Linked DNA regions of Elephas maximus indicus. The protein of the gene in region 2 purifies or fractionates together with the protein of the main gene of each other region. This does not show direct contact. Links are inferred from orthologs where the notes say so. Each region holds a gene or a part of one and is shown on either strand. Other genes may lie near its edges.

Region 1 (6,836 bases), on a different chromosome or scaffold from region 2:
GAATGTAGTCTACTTCACAAAAGCCACAAATTCCCCAAACATCATCATCTTTTTTTTTTTTTTTTTGAATATTGAAGAGAAAGAAGAGGGGAAGAGGAGGAAAAAGACCAGTTTGGATCCTTGAGCAGATAACTGAACCTGTCTGTGCTTCAGTTACCACAAAAAAGAAATAATCATTGTGCCTACCCTCATAAATTGTTGTGAATTTAAATAAGATACAATATGTGAAGCACTTACTCCAGAATCTGGTTCAAAAGCGAGTAATAAAGAGACTGCTATTAATTATAATAATTATGTTGTTAGGGATACATAATATTACTGGTCAGATGCCATGTGCTTAGAAGGGGAAAATAAAAATCAGACTAACCCACCCTTGGAGCCCTGGTGGTGCAGTGGTTAAGCTCTTGGCTGTTAACTGAAAGGTCAATGGTTCAACCCCATCAGCTGCTCCTAGATTACAGCCTTGGAAACCCTAGGGGGCAGTTTTACTCTCTTATATAGGGTTGCTATGAGTCAGGTTTGGTTTTTGATAACACACGCTTGGGACTAACCAAATATACTCAACTGTCCTGGTGCATGAAAGCAAACTGGCCAGCACCTGTGTTGACACACCTCATATATACACACGTAACATACTCACTGCCTTTTCTAAGCCCTACCTGACTCTTAAGGCCAGGTCAGGCTTTATTCCTCCCAAAAGTCAGTCTTCACTGTCCACCAAAATATCTTCGCCCTTTCGCACCTCATTGCCCAGGCACCATGGTGCCCTCTGGTAAAGGGGCCCTGAGACATTCTCAACAATCAGCTAGAATGTGAAATACTGAGGACAGGGTTGGAGCATCCTGTCCCCACATCTCTTAACGTGTTCCCTGGTGCCCAGCCCAAGGCTGGACAAAACATTAAATAGAGACTGCCTGAGTAACGGCCGACCGTCTGCAACATCAGGCAGATGTGTCCTTTCTGACCCAACAGGAAGCTCTAAACAACAGAGAAAGGCCTCCGAAAAGCAAATATGTTTAATCAATCAAACGGCAGTTTCTCTGGGGAAAAGGCTGCCCACTGTTAGAACAACTTCCAAAGTTCAAAAAAAAATCTTTAAGACAGCAGTGTGATTGCTGCAGGTTCTTCACGTGGCCAAAGACTGGAGGAATAAACTCAGTGATGCCTCAGGGGAACTGTGGGTGATTTCTCTTTTTAAAAAGTGCTTCCTTCATTGTTATGATATTCGCCCAATCAACCAATATCATGAGGGAGGAGAAAGTCCACTGATGATAAGCAAGCAACAGAAACAGGGAAATCAGAGGAGAAACCAACCCCTTCCCTCTATCCTGCCCCTGGGCAACAGTGAAGTGAAACAAACTCCAGAATCCAGGTGATCACAATGATAAAGCCTAGAAGTACACTGGGCGTTTGTATGCATTTTCATCCCCTGAGTCAGAGCTAACAAACTTTTTTTAAATACCATTATTTCATAGGGGAATAGCACCTGTATCAAAATGTTCTCATCCCCAGAGCAAAAGCCACAGCCCTGGCAACCAAAAAGGTTCCACAGTCACCACAGAGATGGTTGCAGAACTATGCGTGGGAATCAGATCCTAGTTCCAGTATCTGTTCCCCTGACCCTGGGCAAGTGAACTGCACCCTCCCCCCCGAGCTTCGGTTTGTTCATCTGTAAAACGGGAATATTGCCCACCTTTCTCTAAAGTGCCCAGGACTTAAGACACACTGAAGGCTCTTATTAGTGCCTTCCCCCTTTTACAACATAGGTAAACAGACAGGGCGTCGTCCTTCAAACACTTAGTAAAAGTTTAAATCCTTAAATCTGTGCACATTCAAAAGGATATCTTTTGAGCCAAGAGGGGGGTTCGCCCAGGAGAGCCAAGGCGTAGGTATGCAATTTCTCCGTCCCCCCACGGGCGGCGTGCCCTCACCTCTGCCCAGGACGTGACCTCTCTCCAAGTGCCGCCGGGTAACCGTGAACACGTAGCTCTCCGCCCCAAAGCCAGGACGGCAGGGCTCCGGCTCCTCACAGAGCCACGCCGAAACCTGCAGTGAGGGAAAGGTATGTAACCGGGGTGACTTGGGGGGGAGGGTTGCCTCCTGCTCACACTGAAATCCTCCCTCGCTTGCGGCATCGGGACTGAGGGAGGAACGCCCCACTACCCCAGAAGACAGCGGCGTCACCCTCTGCCACCTCGAAACCCGCAGCCGCCAAGCCCCCCAAGGAACTTCGCGGGAGGGAGCTTCTGGGTCACCTCCTCATGACTAAGCCCCCCTTTCCTTTCTGTCTTCTTTTTCATTTCACTGGTAGTGTCTTTACAGTTCACGATTCCGTTTTCTCATACCGAAACGCCCCCGCCTTAATCTAATTCCTCACAGAGGGGCTGCCCAACCCCTTCGGACCTCACTTTCCCTATCCCGGGGACGCCCCCATTTCTACTTACATGGGAGGTGTCTTGATTTCTATGGAAGCCCTTTTCCTCACTTCGTTCCCACTACTGGCTTCTCCTGTACTGACAACGGGGCTTCCCTTTCCCGACTGACTCCACGTCCCCACTGCCCGGTCCAAGTCCACACCTCGACCAACACAGAGCCCCCCGAGCCTACGGCGAGGTGCGCCCCCCACTCGGGTATTTGCGGCCGGGGGCGGGCTCAGCCGCGCGCCGCTTTACCCCTCCCACTCAGGGGAGCGCGCCGCAGCTTCCAGGCCGTTCTCGCCCTTCGGACCCAAACTTTCTCTGAAGGAGGAGCGGGGACAGTGCGAGAGAAGAGGGGACGCAGAGCCGAGGCGCGGAGCGTGGGGCCAGAATGCTTTCTCTGAAGTCAGGTGAGCCGACGTACCTGTAGCAGCAGCAGGAGTGCGAAGAGGCTGCAGCACCGAGGGCCCATGGCGGCCCGGACCGGGGCTGAGGGAGGCGGGGGTCTGGTTGGGCCGGGCTAGAGCCTGGCAAGACTTCCGTGAACTCACAGGTGCTCTTGGACTCCGGACGCCACTGAGCAGAGCAGCGCTGCGGCCACCAGGTGAGTCCCGAGGGTGCCGCCCCCAGCGCCACTGATTGGCTGAGGATGCACCTGCCCTGGCCGCAGCCTATAGGCGGCGTGGCTCGGCCCGCAGCTTCCTCCGCAGGGCGGGGGGCGGGCGGCTCGCCCACGGCCCCGCCCTGCGGCCCCGAAACGACCCGGTGATAAGCTGAGGAGAGGTTTGTAGGGCCTAGGTGGAGCGTTGGGGCTGCATGATTCCGATTCTCACTGGGTTCAAATCCTAGCCCTACCAGGGCTAAGACAGGGGTCAGAAAGGACCCCTTGGGTTCTTAAAGGCACACCACAGCCACCACCAACCACTATCTGGAGAATTCTGTCCACAGTAAAATGACCTAGTTATGTCTTTTTAACTGCAGATCTCCATCGATTAGTGAGTCATCGGATTGATTCACAGGGTCAGGACCACCTCTCACCTGAAGCCTCACCTTCTACACCATCCAAATGGAAATAATAAGTACAAACACCTGACTGTGTTGTTGTGGGGTTCCCATACAATTAATAAGGCCAATGTTTCCTGCACCATAAAAGCTCTGTACAGGTGTGAGGGGTAATAATACTAGCACTAGGTGCTGGGCACTGAATGTTACTGTCCCAGGCTCTGTGCTGAGCATTTGAATTGACCATTCACTTAATCTCATCTCAATACAAACCAAGTGCTGTATCATTGTTCCCATTTGATAGATGGGGCAAACGAGGCTTAAAGAGATTGAGGCCAATAGGCAGTGGCAGAGAACTGGCACCTACCTCCCTCTGATTCCAGGGCCCTTGCTTTTAACTATTATGCTTCACCTCGTGTGGCTTCCCACCCTCTCCCACCCCCCAAGTCTTCCAGCTGGAGCTGCAGGTTTCAATCTGTCCTTTAATTTTGACATGGAAAAGACCTTTTAGAGTTCACCCAAACCTGTTATTTGCAAGCAACTTGCTCAACATCACACGGCAAGTCAATGTCAAAGCTGAGACTAGAACCCAAGATCTCCTGATCCCCAACTGGGGTTCTTAAAGCCACACCAAACCCACCACCACAGCCTTCTCTGAAGCATCTGTCCCCAGTAAAATGATTTTAAGATCAAGAAAAGAATAGCCAGGCAAACATTAGGTCAGACACCTTCCCTTTCCTATGGCCAGCCATGTCTGTGCAGTTTGGCTCCCCCATCCCACCAACTGCTCACTGGCTGTGTGACCTTGGCCCAGGCAGTGTTCTCATCTATATATCCAAACCTTTGGCCATCAAGTTGATTCTAACTCATAACAAACCCTACAGGACAGGGTAGAACTGCCTTATAGGGTTTCCAAGGCTGTCATCTTTACGGAAGCAAACTGCCAGATCTTTCTCCTTCGTAGCCACTTGTGGGTTTGAACTGCCCACCTTTCAGTTAGCCACCGAGCCCATAGCCACTGCGCCACCAGGGCTCCCTTCTTATTTGTATAAATGGATTGAAATGAGTTAATATAAGAAAATCTCTAAGCAGAGTACTTGGCACATAATAGTAACTGCTCAATAAATGTTTGATGTGGAGGTTGTTCTCTAGCAAGGGTCACTCCCCTCTTTCCCTTCCTCACTGGGAAGGCCACATTTGGAATACTGTATTTCACCCAGAGCGAAAGGTGAATCTAAACCTATTGAGGGTAGTTCTCCGAGAACTCCAGAGGAGTGGCACCATTTCCAGTCTGCCCAGGCCACCCTTGGTCCCCTCTGTTTTAATGGGTTTCTGAGCACACACCCAGGCCATTTGGATATCTACATCTTGGCTCTCTGCCTTTTTACCTGCCAGGAGGCTTGGAGGAGAAGCCTTCGGTGTTTCCTTTCCCACTGAGGCTCCTGCTGGACTGTGCATTAAACAAGATAATGGAAATACAGAAACAGGCGTTTCCCCCATGGGGCAGCCTTGCCACTTTGTGGTTTTTTTTTTTTTTCTTCTCCCAGTTATGTAAAAATATATATTTTATACCATCGCTCAGCCCAGGGAGCCTTTAGGGCTTTGCTTTCTTCTTCCCCGCAAGCCCTGGCCTTATAATTCTGAAGTGACTCTCATTGACTCTTCCATTACACTCTGATAATTCAATAAAAAAGATTTTAGAAAACAATTAAGAGCAGCGAGGACAGGTTGGGATGATGCACACTTCAGACTTCTCGGCAGGTCTTTGAAGCTCCAGGGAGTGAGTCCCGATGGGCGGTCCCCTTCAGCTGTCCAGGGTAAGGAGGGAACACAAAGCGGTTCCCTGTGGAGGTGGGGTGATTTGTGACTTTTGGCAACACAGTGAATTGCCTCAGCTTCCCCTTGTATCAAAGAAGCATATTAATTAACTCCATGTTAAGATCAAATGAGCCAGGGTAGGTGAGCCAACGAGTTATGATGTGAGTAGCCTTGGGTCTCAGGTTGGCCAGACCAGAAAACCAAGCCTGTTGCCAATTCAGGCTCGTGACCACCCTGTGTGTTACAGAGTAGAACTGAGCTCCATAGTTTTCTTGGCTGTAATCTTCCGCTGTGCCGTGGGGTGGGTTCCAACTGCCAAAATTTGTACCAAACCAAAAACCCAAACCCACTGCCGTGAAGTAGATTCCAACTCATAGCGACCCTATAGGACAGAGTAGAACTGCCCCACACGGTTCCCCAGGAGTGCCTGGTGAATCCAAACTGCTGACCTTTTGGTTAGCAGCTGTGGCTCTTAACCACCAGGGTTTCCAACTTTTGTAGGGAAGATTCAAGTTCTGGCTTTGCCACTAGCTAGATTGGATAAGCCATTTTATCTTTCAAAGTCTAGGCTTCCTCATCCCTAAAACGGGAATGTTGTTGGAGCATAATTCACAAGGTTATTATAAGCACTCTGTAAAAGTTAGCTATTAGCATCTTTGCCCAATACATTTCCTTCTAGATTCTAGGGAAAATTGTGAGGCCCCTTGAGAGTTCCCCACACCTAGGCTCTTCTACACCCACCCACCCATACCTCCTCCACCCCAGCCATTAAAACCTCTTAGGCTATCTTTTGTATCTGCTGGGGGAAATTCTTTTTAGGCTGGATGGCTGGTCATTTTGACCCTCCCAGGGTCATTTGCATTTTAAAGAAGGTTCTAAAGAATGACCTTGCTTCTTTCAAATGAATGAAAGCTTTTGGCTCTACTAAACTCTGTTAATCTGGTGTCTTGAATGGGTTTCTAGGGGGGTCTGTGAATAACTGGAGATTGTGTGCAAACCTGTAGGTGCAGGTAGCAAGACCCATAACTTTCATTAGCCTCACGGCTGGGGGAGAACAAATCCAAATCTAAAGCTTGGAATCTCTGAGTGCTAATGTGGAATTACAGGCTTTGACAGAAAAAAGGAATGTTGACTAGAGGCCTCCACTGTTCCCTTGAGATCTCTCCAGGTAGGTGATAAACCCCAGCCTTCCTCACTGCAGTGTGTGTCTCTGGCGGATTTTCATTTCCTGGGTGTCCGGGCCCTGCAGAGAGGCTAGTGATTAGTTCCCAAGGCAAGCCTGTCCCTTTCATCTCCGTGTGGCCTGGCCTACCAGGTAGTAATAATGGTGCTCAGACTGGGAGGGGCGACCTCCCTTGGCCTCTGCTGAGAGGAGCCCAGCCCCCAGCTGGCTGGGGATGAATCCCCAGGGAAATTTGAACTGCTAGGGATTACAGCCAGGCCAGCCTTCGCAACAGAGTTGGGAGAGCAGGCTCCATTCTTAGCTGTTCCTGGGGGCTTCTGACACCCCTCCCAGTCTTGCCAGGCTAACCACCAGCACGCAGAAGGGAACTAGACACCCTTGCTACAGCCTGCTGTTATAATGCTGGTAACTTTGCA
Region 2 (7,810 bases):
TCGAACCGAATTCCAAAGTGTGACAAGTGTTTAGGAGAAGGACACACACAAACTGTTCTGTCTTTGGCAAGGCATGAAGGGAAGGGGTTGCAACCATGTACAGAGGTCAGAAGAAAGCAAGTAAAATTTTAATGAATTCTTAAAGATCTCAGGTAGATAATGCAAGACTTGTTTTGGTAATTAGAAAATAATCCTTACACTTTCTCTTAATAACAAAATAATTTTAAAAAAGAATAGCTAACATTTAGTGTGCACTTACTAAATATTGTGCTCCTACTTAACAAGCTTTATCATACTAAAGAGAAGACTGTTAGTATTCTTGTTTAATAAAGGAGAAAATTGGGCACAAACAGGATAAGGAATTTATCCAAGTTCCCACCAAAACCAAACCCAAACCCACTGCCGTCGAGTTGATTCCGACCCATAGTGACCCTATAGGACAGAGTAGAACTGCCCCACAGAGTTTCCAAGGAGCGCCTGGCAGATTTGAACTGCTGACCTCTTGGTTAGCAGCTGTAGCACTTAACCACTGCACCACCAGGGTTTCCCCAAGTTCCCACAAAAAAAAAAAAAAAAATTTTTTTTTTTTTTTTTTTAAAATGGCAAAGCTGGGATTCAAACTGAGGCATCCTAACTAGAGTCTGGCTCACAGTTAGAAAGCTACATCTTCTCTTCTCCAGTCCAGACATAGTTTCTTAATGCAATTTAAATTGTTTAAATAAATTTCTTCTGTTCAGTCTCCATAGTGAACAATCAGAAATTCCCCTATTGATCATCCCTATCAAGACATAGTTCACAGTATAAGAAGAAAATGTTCAATGTAGAACTTAGCTAAGCCTCTTTACCTCAGAGTAATACTGCCATTAGTTGACTTAAGGGTAATATGTGATTCTAATCTGTATGGGAAAAGTAGAAAAGAAAACATAGAGCAAATTAGAATCAGGGCCAGAACCTTTCCACCATCTGCCCATCACTGACAGCATTTAACTGCAGAGAACAAAAGATTTACTGTAGAATTAATCAAGGAAAAAAGATCCTTTCTCAAATTTTATTAGCAGATACAAACTTCTTGCCACATAATTGTTCTCAGGCTCTTGTTCCCGAGCTAAATGATGTGAGAAAAAAAACTCAAGAATTTTACAATTTATTTCATACTATGAAGGAACTAGGAGCCCTGGTGACGCAGTGGCTAAAGCACTTGGCTGCTAACCAAAGGGTCGGTGGCTCGAACCCACCAGCCGCTCTGCAGGAGAAAGATGGGGCAGTCTGCTTCTGTAAAGATTTACAGCCTTGGAAATCTTATGGGGCAGTTCTACTGTGTCTTATAGGATCTCTATCAGTTGGAATCGACTTGACAGCAGTGGGTTTGGTGGGTGTGAAGGAGCTAAGGAAAAAATTCATCACCATTCTCATTAAATAGAATCTCTTTTGTCATATTTGGTTTTCGAAAATAACATATACTTATATATGTACACACACACACCTATGACTATATTTATGACTATAAGCCACCACTCATCTGTCGGTTCGTAGCACTGTGGTGGCTTACGTGTTGCTGTGATGCTGGAAGCTATGCCAGTGGTATTTCAAATACCACCAGAGGGTTCTCAAAAAAGAGGAAGACCCTCAGTGAGATGTCTTGACAGAGGCTGCAAAAATAGGCTCAAGCAGAGCAACAATTGAGAAGATGTTGCAGGCCTGGGCAGTATTTCGTTCTGTTGTACATAGCATCACTATGAGTCAGAACCGACTCATGGCACCTAACAACAATGCTTATAAGATATATATACATATATATGTGTATACATACACACACATGTAATAAATAGCTTATAATCATTTATGATTTCCAGTCCTTTTTGGTCCCTCCTATAATTTTACCTCTAAACAGATAATACCACCCTTGCCCATTCTGAGCATCTCTCGGTGATAAACACTTCCCCAGTTTACACAGTCACTTTGGAGTCTATCTGAAGCTTCCAAAGGGTACTAGAAATGACGGGCCCTAAGTCATTTGCAGACGTTAAAAGAGACTGTAATTCATTTGTCCTGGATACTAACATAGGGAAGGGATTTTAGTTCTGGAAATATGGTGTACCCCAAAGTGGGAAATGGGATGTGCTAAGGTTAAACTAACAAAATTAATCAGGAAAATAAAATATTCCACATCAGTAGCAATCACAGTGCAATTAAGAGAACAAATAACAAGACGTCTGTACGTAGCCAGTAACTGCAAGTCTTCAATGGACACAATTCCTTATATCAAACAGTATCACATGTATCTATTTAAACTTTTATTTACAGCCATGAATGGAAGGAATGAGAAAAAAAGTTCCATATTAGCAAGCTGAAGTATTTCTCTTACCAGGGCAAACACTGTTAGTGAAATATCTACTCCAGTAGCAGAGGACTTGGACCTTCAGCTGAAGACTTGCAATTACTAGCTACCTACCAATTAATGGACCTTATGTCCATTAATTCAGATACTGCCAGTATTCTAAGAACTAGAAATGCTCCCTAAACAGCAGACAGAACAAGAATATTTCTTATCCTTAAATTTAGTATCTTCCCATCTACTAGACCTTCTTATCTATGAGATTTGTATCTAAAGTGGCCTATTCCAATTACTTTATATCTCAAAACTTTGTTACGCTTGCTATGGATTGTGTCCCCCCAAAATACGTGGTGGAATCCTAACCCCTGTACCTGTAGATGTAATGTAATGTACTGCAATCACCTTTGTATGCAATCTAATGTTATGTTACTGAGCCATACCCATTACCAGAGTTATAAAAAATGGTAGATAAAGACATGCAAAAACAAACGGGAAGAGAGGTGCCATGTGAAGATTGTCAAGGGACCAAGGAACAGGTAGGGCTACAGAAACTGAAAAAGACAAGGATCTTCCCCTACAGCTGACAAAGAGAGAGCCTTCCGTTATAGCTGGTGCCTGAATTCAGATTTCTAGACTCCTAAATTGTGAGAAAATAAATTTCTGTTCTTTAAAGCCATGCACTTGCGGTTCTTCTGTTACAGCAGCCCTAGTAACTAAGACAGTGCTCACCACGGCATTTTAAATATTTTTTTATCCTTTCTCCCCACAAGGTTACCAGTTCCCTCTGTCTTGTTCACTTTCCTGGAGACTATAACTTTTTTTGTTAGAAATATTTTCTGTAATGAGTTGCAAGCTTAAGGGAAAGTATGTATATCTCAAATGAAGGCAACTGCTTTCTCCTTAGCCAAAGTAAAGATAGGTAACTACCGTGCAAAAAACCAGGAATACTGCATTTAAAAAAATTATCATCTAACAGTAGTTTAATGAACTGTGCACACTAAGCCTAGTATTCTTCACCTAGTGTTGATCAAAATCAATTTGTGAACAGATCCCCTCTTAATAGAAATCTCACCTACTTTCGAGAACAAAATAAAGGTTCATGAATTCCTTCCTGTCAAGAAGTGGTTACTTTTCAAGAATCTAATCATTTTTTTCAAAGTAGTATGAAGGTATGTCATACAGCATAAAACCACTGTCATCGAGTGGATTCTGACTCTTCAAAGCTATAGGTCAGAGTAAAACTGCCCCATAGGGCTTCCAAGGCTGTAATCTTTATGGGAACAGACAGCCACTCTTTCTCCCCACTGAACTAATTCTTTGGGGATGAAACTGCCCTGCATAATTCTAAACTTTATAAAAAAACTTTATAAACCCTCATTATTTTTATTACGGTTGGAATTCATCCCTCTTCTCTCTTCCACTGTTTTCCCGGGGCCATCGTTGTAGTAGTTTGCAATGCACAATGGATTTCGCACGGTCATCCTACCTGGAATATGGTACACTCCCTACTCTAACGCCCCCAAACTGTTTCCCGCAGAGATAGGCTAAAGCAGTTCTAGGTGGCGACGCAAATGGATGCAGCCGGTTGGCCGAGAGCAACCGAATGGCTTTGCTGGTGGCTCAGAGCTTAGCCCTGGTAAAGCCCTTTGCAGATACACAACCCACCCAGTGCCGTCGAGTACAGTAACCATATTTATTCCCATACTAGCATTTAGGAGATTTGTCAAGGCTGCAAGGGGATGCGCACCCTTCCCACCGCACACAGGAACCAAGGTGGTCTCTTGTTCCCCTAAAATTCAACCATCCTCTCTCATTCCAACTGCGCTGTAGTTTAGAAAACGCTTCCACAACCGTTATCTGATTCGATCCTCATTCAACGCCTGTAACAAGAGCGTTGTTGTCGTAGTGCCTATTTCACAGGTAAGGAAAGGATCCTGCCCACAGACCCAGTCTAATTCTGAAATCATTTCCTGAAGGGCCCAAGGGCCGCCTCTCCCCGGTGCAGGAAGAGCTTCCTGGCAGAGGGCAGAGCAGGTGTGACGCCCACCTGGGTGACGGGCCGGGCTACTGGCTCCATGCAGTGGCCGGGGACGCAGGCCCCGCGGCGGCAGCCGTTCGGGATCTCCGGGGTTCCCTCCGTGTCCTCCTCTGCTCCGCCCCGGACCTCAGACCCCAGACCCCAAAGTGTCTCATCCCCTCCCTCAAGCTCACCGTCTGATCTCACCAGACAGAATCTGGACGGGACCAAGAAACTCCGCGTCGACCACAGCCGTCCAGGTTCTGGGACCCCCGCTCTGAAATGACGGCGGAAGCAGTCAGCAGAAGGCCTGCAGGTTCCCGGGAAAGGAAAACCCTTTCTCACTCAAGCAGCTGACATTCCCAGTCAGCCGGAGCACCGCCCACTTCCGCTTCCCTGCCCGCCCCTGTGGGCCGCGGGGGGTTGTGGGTATCTCAAAGGCCTGCGAAGCTTCAAGGGAAGGATTCAGGAAGTAGAGGGCGAGCCAGCCTGACTCCTGGACAGCATAGGAACTACAATTCCCAGCAGGCAGCTGGGCCTCAGACCTCTGCCGCAGAGGAGAGCGGGCAGAAGAGCCCTGTGCGCGCGGCGGGGATGGAACGTTACTAGAGTTCGCGGGTCTCACTGTTGGGGGCCAGCGCTGAGCGCTCGGAGCTGCCGCGCGCCAAAGCCGGAATCCCGAAGCAGCAGCTCCGCAATTAATGCACGTATTTAAAACTCCTGTGAATCGGTGGACGCCATGCACAGGTAAACCGATTGCAAAAAGGGGCAGAGCGTGCATGGACCGTCTTAATTCTTTTAGGCCGTGAATACTGCTACTTGCTGTTGTTGTTACTAATGCTGTGATTATGCGAATGGTTGCTTAGCCCATTCTTTGGGAAAGTGTGGATAAATGTTTTAGTGAGGTGATTAGCGAGACGTTTTATTTGGCTTCCCTTATAGGGCTTTCCTGCAGGGTTTTCAAAATCACTGGATGGCTGCCCTCCCTCCCTCCTTGTTCCCTCCACCGTAAGAAATTCTTGAGGCCTGCCTGCGTGATCGTAAATCAAAAGCCTTTCCCATTTGTTCGGTTATTTTTTTTTCTTGGGATTTCGCCACTGGCACTTACAAATGCAATTTTATTAACTGCTGCGGAAGTTTCAAGTTTTCTACAGCGCATAAACTGCAGCTTCTTTTGTGCCTACCTTGGAGCCCTCGTGGCTCAAATGGTTAAGCGCTCGGCTGCTAACCAAAAGGTCTGCATTTCGAACCCACCAGCCGCTTCGAAAGAGAAAGATGTGGAAGTCTGCTTCCCTGAAGATTACAGCCTTGGAAACTCAGTGGGGCAGTTCTACTCTGCCCTATAGGGTGACTATGAATCGAAAGGCTGGACGGGGGATGGGTTTGGTTTTGGCTTTATTCTTGAAAAGAAAGGGAGTGTTGTGCATTTCTGCAGGAAACACCTCCAGGAGATTCCGGACCAAAGTAGCAACGTTACCACCAGTTTCACGTGGGGATGGGATTCTAGCAAGACTTCAGAACTGCTCTCAGGCATGGGAGTCTCTGCCCTGGAGAAGGAGGAGGTGGACAGTGAAAATATCCCCCAGGAACTGCTCTCCAGCCTTAGTCACCCGCAGAGCCCCCCGCGAAAGCGGCTGAAAAGCAAGGGGAATGACAAGGACTTTGTGATTGTTCGCAGACCCAAGCTAAATCGAGAGAACTTTCCAGGTAAGGTATGCAGGTAAAACTGGCAGTCACATAAGGGGGTGGATGGTTTGCACTGTTTTGTCCATCAGCCTTTGTTCAGGGATCTTTAGGATGGTTTCCTATGTTAAGTTGCCTAATTCTTAAATTGGATTGAAACAGTGGCTGCAACAATGGGTTCAAACACAGCAACTATTTTGAGGCTGGCTCAGGAGCCAGCAGTGTTTCATTCTGTTGTACATAGGGTCACTATGAGTCAGAACTAACTCTACAGCACCTAACAACAGCTCTGAAGTTATTTTTTGAAGGAATAGAGGAAGTAATTGTCTTTGAAGTCTATAGGAATCTTTCTGGGTATCTGGTGTATAATTGACTTGAAAATCTTAACCCGAGACAATACCTTTCTGCTCTTTTCTGTAGAAGGGAATCTGCCTGAAGAAAGGCATGAAGTAGCCAGCCAGCTTAGTTTCACAGATAAATGGCAGCATAAACAGTAGTCTTCTTCCAGGATTCCTTTTTCTTAAAGCCCTGGGTGAGCTTTTTGCACTAATCACTTTAGGTATTTTGTCAATAAGTTGCTAAAGTATTTGTGTATTAAACTAAGTGGAAGAGACTTATCTCTCAGGCCTACTTCCAGATGGGCTTCTCCTGGTAGCTTCTGTCTCAGTTGCTGCCTGCTCAATCACCCAAACCAAAAACCTAAGGGTCAGCATAGATTCCTACCATCCCCCAATATCCAATCAATCGTTACATCTTCCATTCTTGTCTCCTAAGTATTTCTCAAATTCTCATCATCTCTTGCCTATTGGAATACATGCATAACTCCAGCTTATCCTCCCCAGATCCATCCCCTGAAGCCAGAGTGACTTAACTGAAATTATTTATTTATTTTTCCAAATTTAATGTCACTGGTATTTTTAGTGTCTGAAATGGAGCACTAGCCATTTGGTGCTTGACCAACCAAATGTGAAAGACACTTCCTTTTAAGATGAACAGATTTTGGCTGAATTGCCAAGAACTGATAGCTCTTGACGTAGTGTTATTGGTGCCTGTCCTTCCGCATTCCTACACAGACAGGCATAAATAAAAATGACATTTCTTAAGCAAGGCTCTGTGGGAAACAAGTCAGAAGTTTAAGAGGTGATTGCTGTCTTCTGGGAATTTGCAAGTCAAGTTGAGGAGAAAAGACGATAAGAAATAACAAGTTTACAGTAATACATGGTGGATAATACACTAGCAGCAGACAAGTAGCGTAGGTAGTGAGCACTGTAGGAGGCCAGAGGGAGGAGCTTATTTGTGCCAAAGTGACTTGAAGCTTCCCAGAGGCAGAAGGGCTTCAATGGTAATGCCCATTCAGGTGGATGATCCTCCTTCTTCCTCGCAGCAAGAGTGGTTTGTTGAAGTGTCCTCAATAAATCATATCTTTTTAGTATAGGTAACGCGTCTTACTGGGCATATTTATTTCTCACATCACTTCACTTAGAAAACAGAGATTATTTTATCTCTGTCTGTGTGTGAATGTGGAAGGAGAGACACCAGTCATACTCCATGTCGAGAGTCATTGGTACTGGCCAAGTTCATCAAAATCACTACTCTTGGAAGGGAGAGAAAGATCTGGAAATGGTCCAGTAAATGAGGCTAAATTGTTAAACCTGACTTTAAAAACATGTCTGAGGTGAGAGAGAAAAAAAATGAACCTTTATGTTTGTTACTACTTGAGAGAGACCAAGAGAGACACTAATAACACATGTTTGTGCATGTATGGAATTACACAC

The links. Proteins that work in one complex are often made in the same cells at the same time.
Region 1: the proteins of SKP2 (region 2) and CDH1 purify together in Homo sapiens (affinity purification with western blotting; 3 studies listed by BioGRID and IntAct, with this or other methods). This does not show direct contact. The link is inferred for Elephas maximus indicus from reciprocal best matches to the Homo sapiens genes SKP2 and CDH1.

Annotation. Positions count from the first base shown.
Region 1 is NC_064839.1:35,055,150-35,061,985, reverse strand, and holds the start of CDH1 (cadherin-1), read right to left. Parts: upstream 3,008-6,836; 5' UTR 2,890-3,007; coding exon 2,842-2,889; intron 2,828-2,841; exon of another isoform or gene 2,047-2,827; coding exon 1,932-2,046; intron 1-1,931.
Region 2 is NC_064820.1:41,308,184-41,315,993, forward strand, and holds the start of SKP2 (S-phase kinase-associated protein 2), read left to right. Parts: upstream 1-4,801; 5' UTR 4,802-5,091; coding exon 5,092-5,099; intron 5,100-5,787; coding exon 5,788-6,059; intron 6,060-7,810. UniProt on the Homo sapiens protein: Substrate recognition component of a SCF (SKP1-CUL1-F-box protein) E3 ubiquitin-protein ligase complex which mediates the ubiquitination and subsequent proteasomal degradation of target proteins involved in cell cycle progression, signal transduction and transcription.